Drosophila melanogaster: one gene and its partners. The protein of the gene in region 1 purifies or fractionates together with the protein of each later gene. This does not show direct contact. Each region holds a gene or a part of one and is shown in the gene's direction. Other genes may lie near its edges.

Region 1 (9,546 bases):
CTAAACTTTCAGCCCGCAGGCGCCGGTCGATCGCCCAACGAGGCTAGCCTCAAGGAGCTGAAGGAGAGCCTGCTCACAGTTCAACCAGCAGGAGCTCTGGTTAATCTCTGCAAGACCTACGATCAGGCCAATGCCGTTGCCCAGTTCATTGAGGCGCTGGTCGACAAGCAACTGAAGCCGCCCATGTCCTTAACAGCGGCTCGTGGTCGTGGTAAATCGGCCGCCCTGGGTCTGTCGATTGCCGCCGCCGTCGCCTTTGGCTATGTGAACATCTACGTTACCTCACCGCATCCGGAGAACTTAATCACGCTCTTTGAATTTGTGCTCAAGGGCTTCGATGCCTTGGAGTACCAGGAGCATGCTGACTACACCATTATACGCTCCACCAATGCCGACTACAAAAAGGCGATAATAAGAATAAATATTACGAGAAGCAGCAGGCAGACCATTCAGTACATAGCTCCCAGCGATACTCATCTGCTGAACGCAGCCGATCTTCTGCTGATCGATGAGGCGGCTGCCATTCCTTTGCCGCTGGTAAAGAAGATGATCGGTCCGTATTTGGTATTCATGGCCAGTACGATAAATGGATACGAGGGCACTGGCAGATCGCTGAGCTTGAAGCTCATTTCCCAGCTGCAAAAGGATAACAATGCAAGGCCGCCACTGAAACTGGAGGAATCGATTCGGTATCAGGAGAACGACGACATAGAAAAGTGGCTGATCAACCTGCTGTGCTTGGATGCCAGTACGGTGCCGAGTATTAGCTCGGGCTGTCCCACGCCGGATGCTTGTGAACTGTACTATGTGGACAGGGACGCCCTGTTTTCGTATCACAAGGCTGCCGAGGCCTTTCTCCATCGCCTGGTCTCCATTTATGTGTCCTCGCACTACAAGAACACACCAAACGATTTGCAGATGATGAGCGATGCCCCGGCGCATCATCTATTCTGTCTACTGGGTCCGGTTCAGCGAATGGACGCCCTGCCAGAGATATTGGTGGTTATCCAAGTGGCACTGGAGGGTCAGATCTCCGCCCAGAGCATCAGCGATTCCCTGGGCAGGGGCAAGAAGGCGGCGGGCGATCTGATTCCCTGGAACGTAGCCGAGCAGTATGGCGATCGAGATTTTCCCAAGCTGTGTGGCGTTCGCATTGTGAGGGTAGCCACGCATCCGAATTACCAGAGGATGGGCTATGGCAAGCGGGCCATTCAGCTGCTCAAGGACTACTATGCAAGGAAGCACACTAATCTGGAGGACGGTCCAGTTGCCAGCAAGGATGCTGGTAAAGGTGAGTGCACGCACGCCAATGGTTTATTATGCACTACATAATACTTTAAATTTTGCATAGGTATCGAGGAAGTGGAGGAGGAGGAACTTAGTCTGCTGAAGGAACAAATCCGGCCACGTAGTCGTATACCCACACTTCTGCAGCGCTTGCACGAACGTGTCCCGGAACACGTGGACTATATTGGCACATCCTATGGCCTCACCACCGAGCTGCTGAAGTTCTGGAAGAACGCCGGCTTTGTGCCCGTCTATTTGAGCCAGAAATCTAACGAACTGACCGCCGAGCATAGCTGCATTATGCTGCACACGCCCAATGCCACGCCCTGGCTGGGCCTGTACTACCAGGACTTCCGCAGGAGAGTCCTCAAGTTGATGGGAAAGACGTTCAGGGAATTCGAGACGAAACTCTGTTTGGCCTTGCTGAAGAACAAGTCCGTGGACACGGAAGGTAGTGCACTGAAAGTACTCGATAAGCCAATGCTGGATGTTTACTTCTTGCCGCACGATCTGCAGCGCTTGGAGAGCTACGCCCGCCAGCAGTCCGAGTTTCGTCTAATCATCGATCTGCTCACGGACATTGCCCAGCTGTATTTTCAGGGCAGGATCGATGGTCTGCAGCTTGACCTGGTGCAGCAGGGCATCCTTTTGGCTCTGGGCGTGCAGGGCAAGACTGTGGATGCGTTGGGTCTGGAGCTGAATATGCCGGGTAACCAGTTGTTGGCGAAATTTTTCGATGCCATGAAACGGTGCAATCAGTGCTTCCGGTCGGTACTGGAGGAGCATATCGAAGGCGGCATGCTGCGGGAGGCGGATCTGTCCAAGGGCGAGGAACTGCAACCGCTGACTCTGTCCCTCGACAAGGAGCTGGATCAAACCGCTCAGAAGCTGAGCAAGCAGCAGCGCAAGGAGCTGAAGCGCCTGAAGGCCGAGCAGCTGGACGAATTCCAAATCAAGGGCACCGAAGAGGATTGGTCCAAGGCGCTGGAAACAAACGGAACAGGCGGTGGCAGCGGGCTGCTCTCCGTCAAGAGGTAGGTGCGCCTATTTTTTTTAATAATGTGCTTAATACATAACCACGTTTATTTATTTGTCTCCAGTTTCGTTTTATTATAAACATCACTCAGTTAAAAAAAATATAACTTATTTCGTATTTGCCTCTCTTTCGTTTCAGTGGCGTAAAGCGACTGGATGGACCAATCGAGACGCGTGAGGATGGCGACCTGGCAGCTCCGCTGTCCAAGAAGAAAAAGAAGAACAATCCGAAACAGAGACGCAGTCAGGGCAAGTCCCTGATCTAGAGTTCATAATTTTTTTCGTTTGGGGGGAAAAAGAATGTGGATTTTAATTCTATAGAAAAGTACATATTGTTGTAAGCTCCGTTAAAAATAAAGAGACCTAATAACTGAACTATATCTTGATATTGGCAGTAGCCTTGGCTGCAGCGGCGGCCGCCCTGCGCCGTTCCTTGAGGTCATTATAGCTAACGCCCGGCTCCTTGTGGGAGTTGCGCTCGAAGCGCTTGACCTTGGACTTCTTGCGGCTGACGAGCTTTGTCGTGGGCAACATATTGTTGCGTTGCAGCGTGTGGAAGCGGTCCTTCAGCAGACTGCTCTCAGTCTTCACGTTGCGCAGATTTCCGGCGATATCCTCGGGCAGATTTACGTCTAGGTCTGGCTCCTCGAACTTGTGACGCCCCAGGCGTTTCGGCTCAAACTTGGCCTTCTCGGCGCGCTGCTTGCGGCGCTTCTTTAGATCATTCAGGTCCTCCTCCTCATCGTCTAGCTCGTGGCGAATCGATTTGATGCTGAATGAAGAAACACAATAGAGATTAGAGATGGACCACAACGCCATCAGTTAGAAACTTACCGTATCAGGTCAGCCGTCTGTTGCTTGAGCTTCCTCTTGAGCTCTGTTTGACGCGCCAGCTCCTTTTGCTTGAGCTCGTTGCGGCGAGCCTGCTTGCTCTTCTTTTTGTTCTCCACGGGAGCGTTGATTGTGTGATATGGCTTTTCATCATCGTCCTCCTTTTTCTTCCCATTCGTTTGGACATCCTCATCGAGCTCACTACCCTCCTCCTCGTCCATGCCTTGGCTCATTTCATTTAGGCGACGACGATCTCTCTCCTCGGGCGTCACCTTGGAGAACATGCTGGTGGTCACGCGCTTAAGGTGCTGTTCCTTCTTAATGATGCCCTCCTCGCGTTCCACCACCTGATCAATAAGCGCCTGATGATCCTCGGGTGCGGGATTGTAGCTCATGCCCGGATGCGGGAGTTCGAATTTCCTAAAAGACATATTACAATCAATAATAACCCGACTGCTTAAGGCCCAGCAAAGTGTGCTCACTTGGCTTTGGTGGTTTTGTGGTGCAGACTAGCGTGAGTTTTCACCACCTTCTTGCCAATATTTCCAGCTGTGTGCAGTGCCAGTTCGCGACTGATCCAACCCTTCTCGTCCTTGAGTCCAGGAATCTCGTCGCGAAAATCCACCTCCTGCCAGATGTCCTTCTCGACATCAAGCTTCTTGTTCTTCTTGTCGGCCAGACGCTGTTCCAGTTTTACGTAGTACTGAGCTCGATCGCTGTTGGCCTGGCGATGGCGCGGCTTGGTTGGATTGCACACCTCCAGCTCGATGTTACGTCCGTTCTTCTTCTGGCGCACATGGTTGCTGCAGGGATTTCAAGATAAATGAGATCGCCTGTCAGGGATATGCTGCAAACTCACCGCTTGGCAATGGGATCTTGGACTTTGGATGTGTTCTCCAAAGCCTGGTAACTGCGCATGGGCTTCTTGGCATTCAGCTTCCGCTTTTGCTTCACACTCAGAACGGTGGCCTTGGTCTTCGGGAGGCTGGAGTCCACAACGAACAGATCCTCATCCTGTTTATCCGCGAACGTTCTGTAATAAGCGCAGTACGCAAATGAATGATTCCGGATGGCCACATTGTTTACCCGCTAACTCACCCAACGCGCTCCTCCTGGCGCTGATCTTCGAGGAACTGCTCGACATCCTGGATGTCTGTTTTGCGCCATGCCGATTTGTTCTTCTTCGAGATGCGCTTCTTCTTTGTCGCTGGCTCTACGGCCGTCATTTCTCCGGATTATTTGGAAATTATCAAAGTACAAAAAACAAATGTTGAGCGGCACACGTGCAATCTGCACAGGCTTTCCAGCACGTTTGGCGTCGTTTGCCAACACTGGCAGCTAGTTGCTGTCAGCTGCTTAGAGATGGCAAAAATCAAGTGTGCTAAGCTACAAAACTAGAGTTGGAACTCTATATATAAATATGAATTAAACTATTACTATATGCATTTGGTTTTAATAGCTTGGATTAATTTCTATCAATGGAGCAACAGGAAAGTAGCTTAAAAGCGACGCTAGCTCTTTACCAGCTGGAAACTGGCTTGCGCATCTCTAACCCTGCCTTCACTCGGATTCAAAACACCTGTGTGCGTGCATGTGCCTACATTTGTGTGCGTGACCAACTGAGCTGCTGCTGCTGTGCATTGTAATTCATTTCGAATTTATAGCCACCCGCGATCCGAATCAAAATCAGTAGCACTTGCGACGAGCTGGCGGTCAAAAGGGCAAAACCATAAACGTCACCGAAAACTCACGCACGTGTGTAAAGTGTGAAAAACGCCGGTAAGTGAGAGCAGCGACGTCGACTGCGACGGAGGCGTAGACGCGGCTGACGTGTACCAAACAAAACGCGGTAAACAAACTTGTCCGCTTATTTTTATTTGTATTTGGATACTCTTGCAAAGGGTGTGATCACTTAGACATTCCGAACGATCTAATGTCTATATCCTATAGCTCTTAAGGCAGTATTAATTAATAATTAATTAAAAAGATAATCATATAAATGCGAGGGTATTCAAGCATCAGCAAGCAGCCTGCTCACGTTTTTTTTCCAATTGCTATTTTCTTTTTTTCTATTTTTGTTTTTCACCGATTACGCCGTGTTATCGCCGCGCTGAAATAGTTTAACTCGTTACAAATAGCAGATCGCGATCTCCGGCAGCGACAGACACACTTTGGACACCACCACGATGAGCACCTTTCCCAGCTTCGCGGACATTTCGGCCAAATTCTCGGAGGCGACGCTGGACGAGATCATCCGAAACGCGGGCGGCACCCGGCACACCTCGTACAAATTTGGCCCAAGTGGCAAGAAGGGCGACGCCTATCTGAGCCGTGTCTTCCGCATCACCATCTACGGCGTCAAGGAGGCGGAAGAGGGCCAGGATGAGAAGCAACTAGAGATCAGTGTGATCGTGAAGGCCATGCCCGACAATCTGCACCGTCGGCGACTCTTCCGTTCGGTGATATTCTTCCGCAACGAGATCAACTTCTACACCAAGGTGTTGCCGGCCATCGAGGCATTCCAGAAGTCCCGCCAGCCCGCGCCTAAGAAGCCCTTCGTGGAGTACCCCCGCTGCCTGGCCAGCCTGTGCGATGGCGTCAACGATTTCATCGCCCTGGAGGATGTGGGTCCCAGGGGCTACAGGGCACCTGTACGGTTAGTTTATTCCTCCTCCTCCTCCTCCACCCCTTTCGTATGAAATCAGCTTTCTATAAATAAGTGTAACTACACTATCTGTCGACTTCCCATACAATAGATTATTTCAATATCTACCATTAATACCATTAACCCTTATTGATTATAAATTATACAACTACATTTACTTCAATTACCTTACCTTACCTTGCAGTCAAGACTACATTTCGCTGGAAGATGCCCTGCTGACGATGCGGACCCTGGGTCGTTTCCATGGCGTGGCCCTGGCCTTCAATGCCCTGGATAGCAAGAACTTCGAGAAGGCTGCTGGTTCGCTGGAGGAGACCTACTATGGCGAACACACCCGCGAGTGGTACACGGGCTTCCTCCTGCTGGCGGAGAATGTGGCCACGGACGCCGTCAAGCAGATCTATCCGAATAGCAAATACGAGACTGTGGCCACAAACTTCCTGCAGCCGCCGCTGTTCGATGATCTGATCAATCTGGTGTCCACTCGCTCCAAGTTGAGTGTCTTCGGGCACGGCGATTGCTGGACGCCCAACTTTCTGACCAAGTACAACGAACGGGGACAATCGGAGGAGATCATCATCATTGATTTCCAGTTGGCCAGGTGCTCCTCCTTGGCCCTCGACCTGAGCTTCTTCATCTATTCCTGCACTAGCCAGGAGCTGAGGGAACAGCACTACGATGAGCTGCTCCGCGCCTACCTGGAGAGCGCCCAGGATTTGATTCAGGATCTCGGTGGCAATGCAGAGTCTATCATCTCCTGGGAATCACTGCAAGAGGAGCTAAAGAACTTTGGTCGCTTTGGTTGCGGCATGGGCATCGAATCGCTGCCGATGACGATGATGGAGGACGATGAGGTGGCCGATCTGGATGGAATCAAGGAGAACGCCATTCTCACCGACATCTGGAATATCACACCCTTCAAGGAGTCCGCCAAGCAGCAGCGACTGGCTGATATCTTCAAGCACGCCATCGATCAGGGCTACATTAAGTGAGCTCATTAATTTCTATGATAAAATCGAATTCATATAGTATTGGGTATTTCGTAATTGTAACCCATATAATGTACAAAACGTAACTCCAGATAATTAAAAGCATATTATAAACACATTTTGGATTGGATTAAAAACAGATCTTTATGGGCAATAACTGATGAATAAAATAACATAGTTTGAAAGGTATGTACATGGTATGTGCTGGTGCTAAAACTAGGTTCGGAACGACCGATTTAGAGGCACTGTCCTTCGTGGAGGACGCACCAGTGCGGAATAACTGCATCCGCATGGATTCCGCGCGCCAGGAGTCGCTCCCGGTAGCGGTAGAATCTTCTTTGGGCCAACAGGGCTGAAGACTTTGGATTTGACCACATTCGCTCGGCTGCTGCTCCAGCTCGCGGCCAGATTCGGGATTCTGTAGGGGATTGGATTGGGTTTAATTAAATGGGTTTGGTTCACCGTTTGGTTCCCTAGCGTTTACATACCCAGTGAGTTCTGATCCACATACTCGCTCCACATGCACACCTCACCGCCGAGAACCTGATCCTTGCTGCGACCAACGGGCATGCCACTGGAGTACACGGTGCGCCAGTTGTAGTACGATGTGCTGCCCCAGAAGCCGTGATCCAGGTACCAGGCATTCTTCGTGGACACAATCAGTCGGTAGCCTCGCTGCAATAGCTCCCGATTGAGGGCATCCTGTGACTCCACCCATGTCTGGATTATGAACCGCTCCTTGGGCAGGTAGGTCTCGATGTACCGGGGATTGGTGAGGTGACTGGACCAGATGATCACCGACTTCGGCTCCTTGATGCCCGGATACATACGCTCGTTAATCTCGTCCCATGCATTGAGGTTCCGCTGATGGAATTGCGACCACAGCCGCAGGAAGCTCTGCTCGCTGAGATCGTAGCCACGTGCCCGCATCCCATCCCGAATCTCGTCGGTGTTATTCCAGCAGGGAAGGAACACCTCGTCGCCGCCCATGTGCAGGGTCTCCTCGGGAGCGCCCACCTCGGCTACGTCCTCGAAGATCTCCTTGAGCACTGCGTACATATGATCGTTCAGGGGATTCAGTTGGCCGCACGGTGGCTGTACACAGAATCTCCTCCAGGGCGATTGATTCAGGCACACGGACATGTTGCCCAGTCCGGCGGCAGGACCCCATTGCCAGCCATTGCCCGCATGCGAGGGTCCATCGATCTCGATCAGTATCCGTATGCCCCGCAGTCGGGCATATTTCACAAGATTCAGTGCATCCTGGCGCGAGTACGTCTGCGATGAGGAGTACGCTCCGTAACGCTGCATCTCCGGCACCCTGGTGATCTCCAGCGGAAAACTGTGCGTGTCCACCACATGCCAGTGGAGCACATTCAGCTTACTGGCCGCCATCGCATCCAAGGTGCTGCGTATAAACTTGAGCGGCACAAAGTTACGGGCCGTATCCAGAAGGACGCCGCGATGCGAAAAGGCCGGACGATCGGTGATGTTGGCCGTGGTGACCATCAGCAGGCCATTGGACAGGCTGCCGGTGACCAGGTTGCTCAGCGTCTCGAAGGCATGACGTGCACCGTACACCGTCGTCGCTTGGATGTCCACAAAGGTGGCCGTTTCAGTGGTTCGCACCACCAGGGCGTAGCTCTCGTCGGTGGGCCAGTCCAGAACGAGGCTCTCGTTGGCCACCGTGGATCTGACCAGAATCTGCTTGCTGGTCTCCAGCGTGCAGTTTCGTATGCACTCCTTCAGCAGATTCGAGACGAACAGCCGGTTCGTCTCCCTGAGAAACTGGGTGGCCGCCTCGCCGGGCGCCACAACATGGAAACGCACCTTCCACGGATCGAATCGTACCCGCCTGTGCGATATGGTGCACTCCTTGCCGGTGGGCATGGGCCAGATGGCTCCGTACTTGCCGCACGACAGTCGGCAATCCCGCTGGCTCTCGAAGATCTCCGGCGCGTACTGCAGTCCGGCCACCATCTCGCCCTCCGCGGTGCAGATATCCGTCCGGCTGCACAGCCATTTCCTGGAAATTCGGAAGATATTGCTATAATAAAGCTAAGTACATATATATTTAGATACATAAAGCAGATTTCACTTTATTTATTGCAAATTCTTTTCAATAATATATGCAGCTGCATAGAAAGTAGTTCTTATTCTGTCGCTTTGCCTTTTGCACTTGTTCCCTTTACGAAAATTGCACTTGGAGCGAATGCAAATTAACATGTAAATGCATTTGGCACAGTTAAATTTTCACCTGTTTTCTTCTGTTTGTTTTATTTTCTAGTTTTTAAGACTGATTTCACTTGTTGCTCTCAGTTATTTGAGGAGATATTGGATATCCTGCTGAGCATAGACACCAACCATTTGTTATCCGTTGGCAGTTTTTTAAAGTTCTCTTTTGTAGAATGAATAGATTTCCTTTAATATATTTAAAAGTAGTGGACTTTTTGGACTTTTTTTCACTAGTCTGCTGAGCGCATATAACACTTGAAATTTCATTGAAAATAAAGAACAGTCAGTTTTTTGTATTTTCACTGCATTTTGTTAGCAAAAATTGTTATACTTCCAAAACAAAACATGTATTTAAAAAAAAACTTGCACTTGTTGCACTGATTTCCTTTATGAAGCAAAGACACAAACCTGCTGGCGCTGCCGGCGTCGGCGTCGCTGCCGACGTCATCTGCCCGCGTCAGCGCAGCGCCGACCGCGAAGGATAATAGGGATAATAGCAGCAGC
Region 2 (5,213 bases), on another chromosome or scaffold:
TAATCAGGCCGTGAAAGTGTAGCAGTGGTTTCTCGGGCTGCAAAAGATCCATGGAGCTCAGAATGAAGTTGCCCACGCAGTAGGGACAAAAGGCGAAGGTGAAGATGAACATGGTGTTCAGTGAGATGATCCAGAAGACGTGCTCCAGAAAAACTAGCGAGCCATCGAGTCCGAGCAGGCGTTCCCAGGTAAGCTCCTCGGCAGCCCGATCCCACTCCATGGGATTCCAATTCTGCTCATCGGCATCGGCGTCCACGACGGGAGCTGCAGCCGCTGGTGCGGCATCCTGGGCCTGGGCATCCTGCCCATCGTTGTCCGCTGGAGCCGGCGCTTCATTGTCGTCGGCATTGTTGTTGTCGTCCTGAGGCTGTGGAGCTGCCTCGGCGGCGGGATCAGGCGCAGGATTAGCAGCCGCTGCCTGTAGAGGGGCATCGTCCCGCTCCAGCCAATCGGGTCCGCCGCCATGCAGGATCTGCTCGCGCAGCCAGACCAATCCTATGAAGGACAAAAGTGTGCATGTGACCACAAAACAGCCCCGAAAGGCATCCGATGCCAGGTTTTCAACGGAGAAGATGTCAAAGGGCAGCGTGAGAATCATATCGAAGGAGCTCGCCCGGAAGAGGTACCGATAGGTCCTGTAGGCAGACAGCGGCACCACTCCGAACCAGGCCAAACCGACCAGGGTGTAATGAAGCCAGCAGCGAGCGCCCTCCAAAACGGCGGACATCAGTCCCACAAGGACATCCTTTATCGGCAGGACTCGCGGCATATCCGGAGCATAGATGGGCTGAAAGCTGAAGCTGTAGCTGCACAGCTCGCAGTATTCCTTGTGCGAGTAGCGCATCCATAACATCAGGCAGTCCTGATGAATGTACTTGATCGATCCAGTGCAGATGCACGGGTAGAAAAGAGGCCTATCCGGCTGTGCCTCGCATCTGCACACGCGGCAAATGTCGCCCTGCGACAGGTCGTCCATACTGATAACTTTTTCCCGGATCCTGGGTCTTCAGTTTGACTGAATTACTAAAGTTCCACTGGTCATTTGCGAAATTCGCTGGACAATTTCCGTAATTGACCCGAGGGTACGGGGGTTTTAAGACGATTATACCCGCCTTTTATGTGCGCCAATTAACCTTTCGATGATTACGGACCGTAATGCGATTGTAACACTTGAATTTTAACCGAAAAGTTGGGATATTATTACGACAAAACAAAACAAGACTACTTCTCAAAAAAAGGAGAGCCAATGTGTGCACACCATGAAATTGCTGATTATTTTCTCAACGGAGATGCCAACTAGTTCGATAGATTGAGAGAACGAAATATCGTTATTCATTTTTTAATCATAAATTGAAAATTAAAAAAGATTACATAGTTATGGTTAATAAATATAAGTTTTTAACTTAAATAATATAAAACAAAATTATCATGACCGGGAAGTAACAGTTAATGAAACAGTGTGTGCACACATCATTAGGCAATACCAATCCATCTGGCAACCCCACCACACTCATTGTTGTTGTTCTGATTCTCTTGTCATTATTTTGCAATCAATCGCTGAACTTTTTGCACTGAGAAATTGTAGAAAATAAGCCATGCAGCGACAGATTATTAACATTCTGGGACAGACGACGCGTCGCCTGGCTAGCGGCCAGCAAATTCGCATGCTGTCAGTTTCTGCGCCGCGACAGGAGATCTTCAAAGTCCAGAGCGCCGAGGACTTTGACAAGAAAGTAAAGAACAGCCAGCAGCCCGTGATTGTGGACTTCTTCGCAACGTAATTTTTATATTTTCAATTTGAGGACATGGCAAATTAATGTTTATATTGTAATCCACCAGCTGGTGCAATCCCTGCAAGCTGCTAACCCCGCGCATCGAGAGTATTGTGGGCGAACAGGCCGGTTCCATCAAGCTGGCCAAGGTGGACATAGATGAGCACAGCGAACTGGCTCTGGACTACGATGTGGCCGCCGTGCCCGTGCTAGTGGTGCTGCAGAACGGCAAGGAGGTGCAGCGCATGGTGGGACTCCAGGACGAGGACAAAATCCGGGCCTGGGTTGCCGCCGCCGTCAAACAGGCCAAGTAATAATTGAGAAATCCCAAAAAAAAAGTGGAGGTTGACCTCCTCGCAAATAAAGCTGAGCTTTAGGTTAATTCGGACTTTCGAAATAAATGTTTATTTACCCGTTGAAACGAAAAGTACTACGATTACACACTAAAAACTAAATGGAAAACCAGCCCGGCGTGCCGGGTCGCTTCTTGTTCCTGTCCAGAAATCTGCGGAAACCGGCTTTCGATTCATCCAGCGACTTTTCCTCCTTGGCCTGCTTCTCAGCCTTTTCGGAAAAGAAGTCGGGGAAGACAAAGGACTCCTCCCTGGGCTGGAATACACAAATATCATTGGAAATATCCATTGAATCAGGGGCTTGTAGTGGGCCATACCAATGTTACATAAGCCAGCTTCACGTCGTCTTTTTTGGTGATGTAGCCGTAGGTCTGATCCTTCTTGGTCTCGCCCATGGCAATCCGAGTACGCACATCCACCACCGGCAGCTTGTAGATCTTCTCCAGATAGTTACGCACATCGTACTTGGTCATTTCCATGGACACCGAAAAAGTGACCACATTGGGTGGCTGTTCCTCCGTGGGTCGGATTAGCTTCATCCAGAAGTTGGGAAGGAAAACGCGAAGCTGCGGATTGCCGCGCTGATAGATGGGATACCACCTCGTGGACATGATCTAGCCAGGATCTAAGATTCTAATTCAAGAATACAAAAATTAAATTAATTGTTGTGCGTTTATGAAATGCACTAAAAAAGGCCAAAGGTTTCGGGCGGACACAGGCGTAGCAAGGGGGTCGCATAAGATTGTTAACTAAAACTTAACGTATATATTAATTTAAGTTATTACGCTGTAACTATAAAATATTCCACACTTTTACCACTTTTAAAAAATAATATCACTAAATCTAGATTCCTCTCAAAGAACTGTTACCTACACCCGTGTAAAAGCACGTGGGTTGTCCAACACTTGTTTTAAACAGCTGATTGTCAACCACAACAATTTTTAAATTCGGTCCGGCTGAAATCTCTGGTAAAGGCCGTTTAAAATGGCAAAAATAAAGAAAAAGGAGGCGAAAGCTAAACCTTTGACTCGCAAGGAGCAGAGAAAACAGAAGTCGGAGTTCAAAAAACAGAATAAACGACTTTATTTCGCCGGCAAAACTAACGGAACACAGCGCGTGGCGGCGGCGGCAGAGGCGTTGGCAGCGCAGTCGCAGCTGGGCAAAAACAAGAAGAAGAAACGGAGCAAGAAGCCCAAAATAATAAATCCAGATGAAATACCCAAGGAGCAACTTTTGTCCGGTGAAATAGACAGCGACGATGACGAGTCCATAGATTCGGATTTCAGCGATGCGGAGGTGGATGCTCTGCTGCCCGCAAGGGAAAAGATGGAAGTCTATGAACCTCTGGGAAAAAAGGTCAAGAAAACGACAGGAGGCGCCATCCAAAGACAGGATGAAGAGGCGGTCAGGCGGAAGGAACTGCGCCAGCAAAAGGAACTGGAGAGCAAGTCCAAGAAGCAGCGAATCAAGCAACTTCGCATAGAGAACGAGGAGGATGATCGCGAGATCAACAAGCTGGAAAAGAAGCTGAAGCTCAACAAATCCAAGGACAAAAACCGCTTGGTGCGGAAGATGTTCAATGATGGCCTGGACTACCTGCTTGACTTTGTCCTGGATGACGAGGAGGAGAAGCGGAAGTGGGAGGAGAAGCAGGAACGTAAGAAAAAGCTGAAGGAGCAGCAAGAAAAGGAGGAGGCGGGAATGTGGAGCGATGAGGAAGAGGATAAGGAGGACAGGGATGAGCCCATGGATAACTTCTCAGAAGATGACAGTGGCTCTGAGGGTGAAGATGATGATGAAGACCTAACTGGAGAGGAAGAACAAAGCGAGGAGGATTCGGAGCAGGAAGAGAATGCACCTAAGAGTGAGTACATTCATCGTTTAGAGTTTTTCATTTAATTAACGAATTAATTACAGTTAAAGAGGACATCTACGGACGCAAACGCGACGCCGAGGGAAACATCCTGCCTGATCCCGTGGAGCTCGAGGCCTCAGCCGCCGGTCAAAAGTACATACCGCCACATCAGCGAGCTTTGATGGCAGCCAGCGCGGGATCAAGTGAAAAACAGGCAGAGATACTAGCTCGCCTTCTAAAGCAATGCAAGGGTCTGCTCAATCGTTTGTCAGAAGCGAATCTGCACAAGATTGCCGCCGGCATCGAGGAGCTGTACATGAAAAACTCCCGCTACAACATGAACGAAACACTAACCAAGTTAATTCAAGAAGCCCTTCTCGGCTACACGCGAACCAACGAGCGAATGGTACAGGAACACATGGTGCTGCTGGCCTACCTACATGCCCAGGTTGGCAGCGAGATTGGAGCGCATTTCCTGCAGACTTTTGTGGAGTTATTCGATGGTTATGTCAAGAACATCGCTACCCTGGAGGTGGAGGATAAGCAGCTGAATAACCTAGTACTGGTGCTCTGCTACATGTACCTCTTCAAGATCTACGAGCTGAATTTGCTGATGGAGCTCATAGGCAAATTGTCAGATCAGCTTTGCGAGAAGAGCGTGGAGTGCCTTTTGCTGATCTTCCAGTCCATTGGCTTCCGGCTGCGCAAGGACGATCCACTGGCCTTTAAGACCATGATGCAAAAAGTTCAATCGCAAATTGCTAGTGCCCCACTGGAACTGAAAGAGAATCCACGCCTGCGTTTCATGGTCGATATTCTAAATGCAGTCAAAAACAACAATATGCAAAAGCTGCCGCAGTATGATCCCGAGTTGGCGGAGAATCTGCGAAAGCGTTTGAAGGCCATGCTGAAGAATGATCGCTACGTGGTGACTCTGAACATAACCCTGGAGGACCTCCTGCGTGCTGATAAAGTGGGCAAATGGTGGATTGTGGGCTCTGCCTGGACGGGAAATCTGGATGAGATGGGATCCGCCAAGCAAAAGCAGGATAAGAACTCATCGAAGTCTGCCAACGGAGGTTTTGCGGATCAGCTACTGGAGCTGGCCAGAAAGCAGCAGATGAACACAGCCGAAAGGAGGAATATCTTCTGCATCATCATGAGCGCCGCCGATTATGTGGACGCCTTTGAGAAGATTCTGCATTTGTCTCTGAAGGACCAGCGAGCGGTGGC
Region 3 (5,756 bases), on another chromosome or scaffold:
TGAACCTGCTGATGAGCCCGCAGGGTCAGGTTTTGTCTGCCCACGTGGCCGGCAAGGTGGTAATGAAGTCGTATTTGTCGGGTAAGTTAGCATAAATAATCTAGACATTATTCCTTTTAATAATCGCCATGTTGTAGGCATGCCCGAGTGCAAGTTCGGGATTAACGACAAGATCGTGATGGAGTCTAAGGGACGCGGTCTCTCCGGAAATTCAGAGGCGGAAACCTCACGCTCCGGCAAGCCCGTCGTGGTCATCGATGACTGCCAGTTCCATCAGTGCGTCAAGCTAAGCAAATTCGAGACGGAGCATTCGATCAGCTTCATCCCGCCGGACGGGGAGTTCGAGCTGATGCGTTACCGTACCACCAAAGACATTTCGCTGCCATTCCGAGTCATCCCGCTGGTGCGGGAGGTGGGCCGCACCAAGATGGAGGTTAAGGTTGTGCTGAAGTCCAACTTTAAGCCCTCACTGCTGGGCCAAAAGATCGAGGTGAAGATACCAACCCCGCTCAATACATCGGGCGTGCAGCTCATCTGCCTAAAGGGCAAAGCCAAATATAAGGCTTCGGAGAACGCGATCGTGTGGAAGATTAAGCGCATGGCGGGCATGAAGGAGACACAGCTGTCCGCGGAAATCGAACTTTTGGAGACGGACACCAAGAAGAAGTGGACTCGGCCGCCCATCTCCATGAACTTTGAGGTGCCATTCGCGCCGTCCGGCTTCAAGGTACGCTACCTGAAGGTGTTCGAGCCCAAGCTCAACTACTCCGACCACGATGTGGTCAAATGGGTGCGCTACATCGGACGCAGTGGCTTGTATGAGACGCGCTGCTAGGGCGCCCAAGCATCCCCATCACGGAGCAAGATTATCACAATTGAATTTAACGAGATGAATGGAGAAAGTGTTACCGCATCTATTGGTATTTCCTCAATCAAATTGAACCAGCAGCTTATGTATTCCAAGATTAGTTCCAGCAAGTCCGGAGGACGCCCGAGTAGCGGATCCACCCCGGACACCCTATGCCGTATACCGCACACACTGCCTCCGCGAGCACTGGTTATGCGGGCGGGGCGTGTTCCCCATAGACATACCACTACTAGGTACTATGATTTACCCTACTATGTAAATGTAAACTATGTTGTTTTTATATGCGTCGCGGGACGTCTCACAAATCTCACGCTCACGTTTCACAACTCTAATTATTATTTGTATTATCGTATTATAAATATATATATATATGTATATTTAATCATTATTTTCATTGTGCAAAGAACAAAGGCGATAAATGCAACTAAGCGTATTTAATAGACCAAAACTCTGTCAGCGCTATCAATATTGATATTCAAGTGTTAATAATATTCGAATTGTTTAATAAATAAATTAGCATGATATATACTAAAAATGATGTGTTTCTCATTGGTGAAAGGGTATCGTTATATGGCTTTTCCCTATATCGAACTGATATGCCCAACAATAGAACGGAAAGGTACGATTACAACCTCATAAATGGGTGATATACAACTTTATGATCAGCCCACAAGTGCTGTCTTCGCTATCACGTGTGCACATTGGTTCAAGATCAGCTAAATCCTGAAATTAACGTCACAATTATTGATGATGTTCAACGAAGTGAAAACTAGTTTCTAGCCATGAATCATCGCACCAATGGAAGTGATCTTTGCGTTTTGGGAAAGCAAAAAAGGGCCTAAAAATGCCAGTTGGCATAAAAGCTTGCTTATCGTGGAAGGGGCTTTTCACAATTTTCCATCGGCGCTAGAAATCAACATTGTCCAATCAGTTCACCCACTGCGATAAAGTTTATTCCGCTGTGTCCATTAAACTATTATTTCTAGGTGTTAGCTGTTGCCAGCGCTGGATAGCCTTGACTGGTTTCGCCATCCAGATACTAATTAATTGGACTGGAAATTTTAATAAATCCGTAGATATCCGCTGAATCAGAGTGAAGCTTTTGCTTTGTTATCACCCAGCTGGCTTGGTCAGCAGAGTGATAACGCCACGAAAAAAAAACCGTATTATCATCTTTTTGGGCTGACACGCTACACGTAACATGGATGACATAGTACCCGATGTGCTGGATGCGGTTCCCGCTGGCACCATTAAGGTCATCTATGGCGATGACTTGGAGGTCAAGCAGGGCAACGAGCTAACCCCCACCCAGGTGAAGGACCAACCGATTGTCAGCTGGTCTGGGCTGGAGGGAAAGTCCAACCTATTGACCCTGCTCATGGTGGATCCCGATGCACCGACTCGTCAAGATCCCAAGTACCGTGAGATTCTGCACTGGTCTGTGGTCAACATTCCCGGCAGCAATGAGAATCCTTCTGGTGGCCACTCCCTAGCGGACTACGTTGGATCTGGACCGCCCAAGGACACTGGCCTGCATCGGTATATTTTCCTCCTCTATCGCCAGGAGAACAAGATCGAGGAGACGCCCACTATATCCAATACGTATGATATATATTAAGATATTTATCAGTTTACTGTGACACTGATCAATTCCCATTCACAGTACTCGCACAGGCCGTTTGAACTTCAACGCCCGGGACTTTGCCGCCAAACATGGATTGGGCGAGCCCATTGCCGCCAATTATTACCAGGCCCAGTATGATGACTATGTGCCAATTCGGAATAAAACGATCGTAGGCTAGATTTGTGCATATATCATGCAGGGTTTTCAATTCCCCGTCAATAAAGTTTAACCAATTGCTTATCTCGCTATCTATGCGTTGGGGTATTAACTGAAAAGTGCACGGAACTGATTAGGCGGCGGACTCCGTCGATAAAAGGCCAGACATCAGGGATCCGGGCCAGAGTCAACTCGCTAACGCTACACCGAGCAGAAGCAACAGAACTACCAGCTAACATGGACACCGCCGGCATTATTCCCGACATCATCGACGTCAAGCCCGCCTCCAAGGCCACCATCACCTATCCTTCCGGCGTTCAGGTTGAGCTGGGCAAGGAGCTGACTCCCACTCAGGTGAAGGACCAGCCCACTGTCGTCTTCGATGCCGAGCCCAACTCCCTGTACACCATCCTGTTGGTGGACCCCGACGCACCCAGCCGCGAGGACCCCAAGTTCCGTGAGCTGCTCCACTGGCTGGTGATCAACATTCCCGGCAACAAGGTGTCCGAGGGCCAGACCATCGCCGAGTACATCGGTGCTGGACCCCGCGAGGGAACCGGCCTGCACCGCTACGTCTTCCTGGTGTTCAAGCAGAACGACAAGATCACCACCGAGAAGTTCGTGTCCAAGACCAGCCGCACTGGCCGCATCAACGTCAAGGCCCGCGACTACATCCAGAAGTACAGCTTCGGCGGTCCCGTGGCCGGCAACTTCTTCCAGGCCCAATACGATGACTACGTGAAGACCCTCATCGAGACGGTCCAGTAATCTGGCCACCAACTGATCAGCTCTCTGTGAAATAATAAATATTAAATATGTACTAGTTCTCATAAAAGTTATCTCATACATGCTTGTGGGCGGGTCTTTTGCTATGCGATTTCCATAAGCAGCTGAAGTATATTTTTATAAGAATTACTTTTGATAACATTTCCGGAATTAATTTAAACTTGCCCGAGGCTTTGATATCTTTCTTTGAAGTTAAGTTTATAAAAGCGAGAGAAAGAAATGTTTATAATTAATCATTTATTTCCCTTTCGCTAAGTTAGGAGATATGGTTATTTTTCAATTTATTTCGAAATGATTCATTGAATAGATAACAATATTCTTTAACTTAGATATGAATTTGATTCATCAAAACTATCAGTTTCCTTTTAAAATTCGAACTTTGAACACCTGCATGCTCATTTCTGATAACTGCTTTCACATATAACGAATATCCATCCAACTTCAAGTTACCATTGTTAAACAAGTAATGAGTTTGGATCCATGAAAGCTTAAATATATTGGTTAATCTAGTTATTTTTGTTAAAGAAATCGGCCACCAGTTTGTTAAACTCCTCCGCATAACGTAAATGGATATTATGCTTCCCCTCGGGGAACTCATAATATTCCGCATGAGGCAAACGCTCCCTCAGCCAAGGAATGTGCTCCGCTGCTATCATGGGATCCTTCTTTCCGTGGAGTATAAAAGTAGGTATCTTTATTTTCTCAACTTCGGTGCGACAGAAGTCTCCATCCCGTTGGTCATAGAAGGCGCATGCGGCGTCCACCCATTCGGCCCACAATTGGGGGAATCTTTCGACGCCGTAAACCTTTTCCATGGGCTCACGCATGCGCGGCGACCACTTGGCCACATCCCGAATGTTCTTAAGAGCCTTGACTTCGTCAGCGTTCAAGTAGGCACCTGCTCCCCAGATTGCTAGGCGATCCACAGCTTCCGCATGGCGACCTGCGACTATGAGCGCCGTGATGCCCCCATCGCTCCAGCCCAAAATGGAGAAGCGTGGTCTGTCCAGGGCACGCATCAAATCCACGGCTGCCTGGGCATCCTCCCGAAAGAATTCAAGGCCGAACTTGCGCTGCGGCGGCACTGATTTGCCATAACCCGGCGGATCCCAGGCGATGATGGTGTGACCCGGCAGCAGTTTCGGCAGCTGCTCGATCTGGGGCCTAAAGTCGGTCCACGAGGAACCCAGTGCTCCCGGCATCAGGAGTAGACTCCGCTCCCCACTGCCGCTCTCCACAATGTTCAAATCTGAGCCATTCACACGAACTTTCCGCTCCGTGTGCAGCAAGCGCCTGGTGATCGGGGAACGGGCACCCACAAGCCGGCACAGATTGCCCAGCATTACGTAAGCGGGATCTAACGGGGATTTTGGAGTATGGCAACAAACTTAGCTGCTTCTCAAGGGCTCTTCAGATGTCCAGAGAGGAATATTTGGCAAATTCTAATCTTTACACACGACGCCTTGTAAAGTGCACTTGATAAAGATCCGTTGATAACAGCTGATTGATAAGAACAGCTGTAAGTAAACGATCGAATTAGTGTGGCTGTAGGTGCGATGATGCCATATACCGTTAAATCAAAAGTAAATATACCAAAAAACTAATTTTAAAAGAATCGTTAATTTTTTAATAATTTGAAAAATATTTTCATATTGATATTTAGGCATTGGGTGATGCACTTGCATTTTTAAGAATGTTCCTGAAATTTAAAAGATTTTTCCATTCATTTTGAAGAATATTACTTGACAATGCCGAACTCTCCACAGATTTTAAAATAATGGTAGTTTAAAAGCCCTTGAAAGTTCAAGAGCTGCCGCTCAGTTTGATTTTAAGCTTTTCGCTCTTCCCCCAGCTTTTGGCATTCCCAATCTTAGTCCTTGTTAGTCCACTTGAACGTCACGACTCCGAAGGACAATGGACAGCACGTGCTGGCATTTGTTTAGCCTTTAGCGTGCGTTAAAATATTATTAAAAACCGTAAGTGCTTAATAGCAGGATCCTGGTCCCTGCTGTAATGGTCAGTGCGTGATTCGTGTGCTCAAATTAATGTGTTCGCCTGGACTGCGACGACGATTAATGGAGGCGACGGCCTTGCAATTGCTCTCCTAGGACGAAGGAGCAGGGTGATGGGATTTGACAGAGGCAGGACATACACCCACAATCGAGAGTAAGGGACATCACATTCCACTGCCAATGCAAATGCAAATCGAATTCGACTCCGAGATGTCGAAGTTGCGTAGTAAATGTCAAGGAATTTACACGGGTCGTCTCGGAGATAGTGAGCCCGGGGGGGTGTCAGCTTGAGTTGGTGTGTGTGAGTGTG

Evidence for each region.
Region 2: the proteins of CG2004 (region 1) and CG8993 purify together in Drosophila melanogaster (affinity purification with mass spectrometry, with the first as the bait; one large-scale study listed by BioGRID). This does not show direct contact.
Region 3: the proteins of CG2004 (region 1) and CG7054 purify together in Drosophila melanogaster (affinity purification with mass spectrometry, with the first as the bait; one large-scale study listed by BioGRID). This does not show direct contact.

The regions. Positions count from the first base shown.
Region 1 is NC_004354.4:8,709,862-8,719,407, reverse strand, and holds CG2004 (uncharacterized protein), read left to right. Parts: upstream 1-4,483; 5' UTR 4,484-4,932; exon of another isoform or gene 4,933-5,002; intron 5,003-5,234; exon of another isoform or gene 5,235-5,272; 5' UTR 5,273-5,339; coding exon 5,340-5,809; intron 5,810-6,002; coding exon 6,003-6,810; 3' UTR 6,811-6,936; downstream 6,937-9,546. Other genes in the region: l(1)G0020 (lethal (1) G0020), read left to right, coding at 13-1,291, 1,352-2,321, 2,462-2,588; CG1785 (uncharacterized protein), read right to left, coding at 2,698-3,094, 3,157-3,573, 3,636-3,956, 4,013-4,186, 4,252-4,379; Hexo2 (hexosaminidase 2), read right to left, coding at 7,044-7,225, 7,296-8,833, 9,451-9,546.
Region 2 is NT_037436.4:2,370,687-2,375,899, forward strand, and holds CG8993 (uncharacterized protein), read left to right. Parts: upstream 1-1,512; 5' UTR 1,513-1,595; coding exon 1,596-1,777; intron 1,778-1,839; coding exon 1,840-2,086; 3' UTR 2,087-2,190; downstream 2,191-5,213. Other genes in the region: CG1317 (uncharacterized protein), read right to left, coding at 1-976; mRpL23 (mitochondrial ribosomal protein L23), read right to left, coding at 2,223-2,381, 2,443-2,736; CG9004 (uncharacterized protein), read left to right, coding at 3,110-3,989, 4,043-5,213.
Region 3 is NT_033777.3:22,463,206-22,468,961, forward strand, and holds CG7054 (uncharacterized protein), read left to right. Parts: upstream 1-1,779; 5' UTR 1,780-2,069; coding exon 2,070-2,470; intron 2,471-2,531; coding exon 2,532-2,670; 3' UTR 2,671-2,733; downstream 2,734-5,756. Other genes in the region: AP-2mu (adaptor protein complex 2, mu subunit), read left to right, coding at 1-81, 138-835; Pebp1 (Phosphatidylethanolamine-binding protein 1), read left to right, coding at 2,886-3,416; CG5377 (uncharacterized protein), read right to left, coding at 3,941-4,777.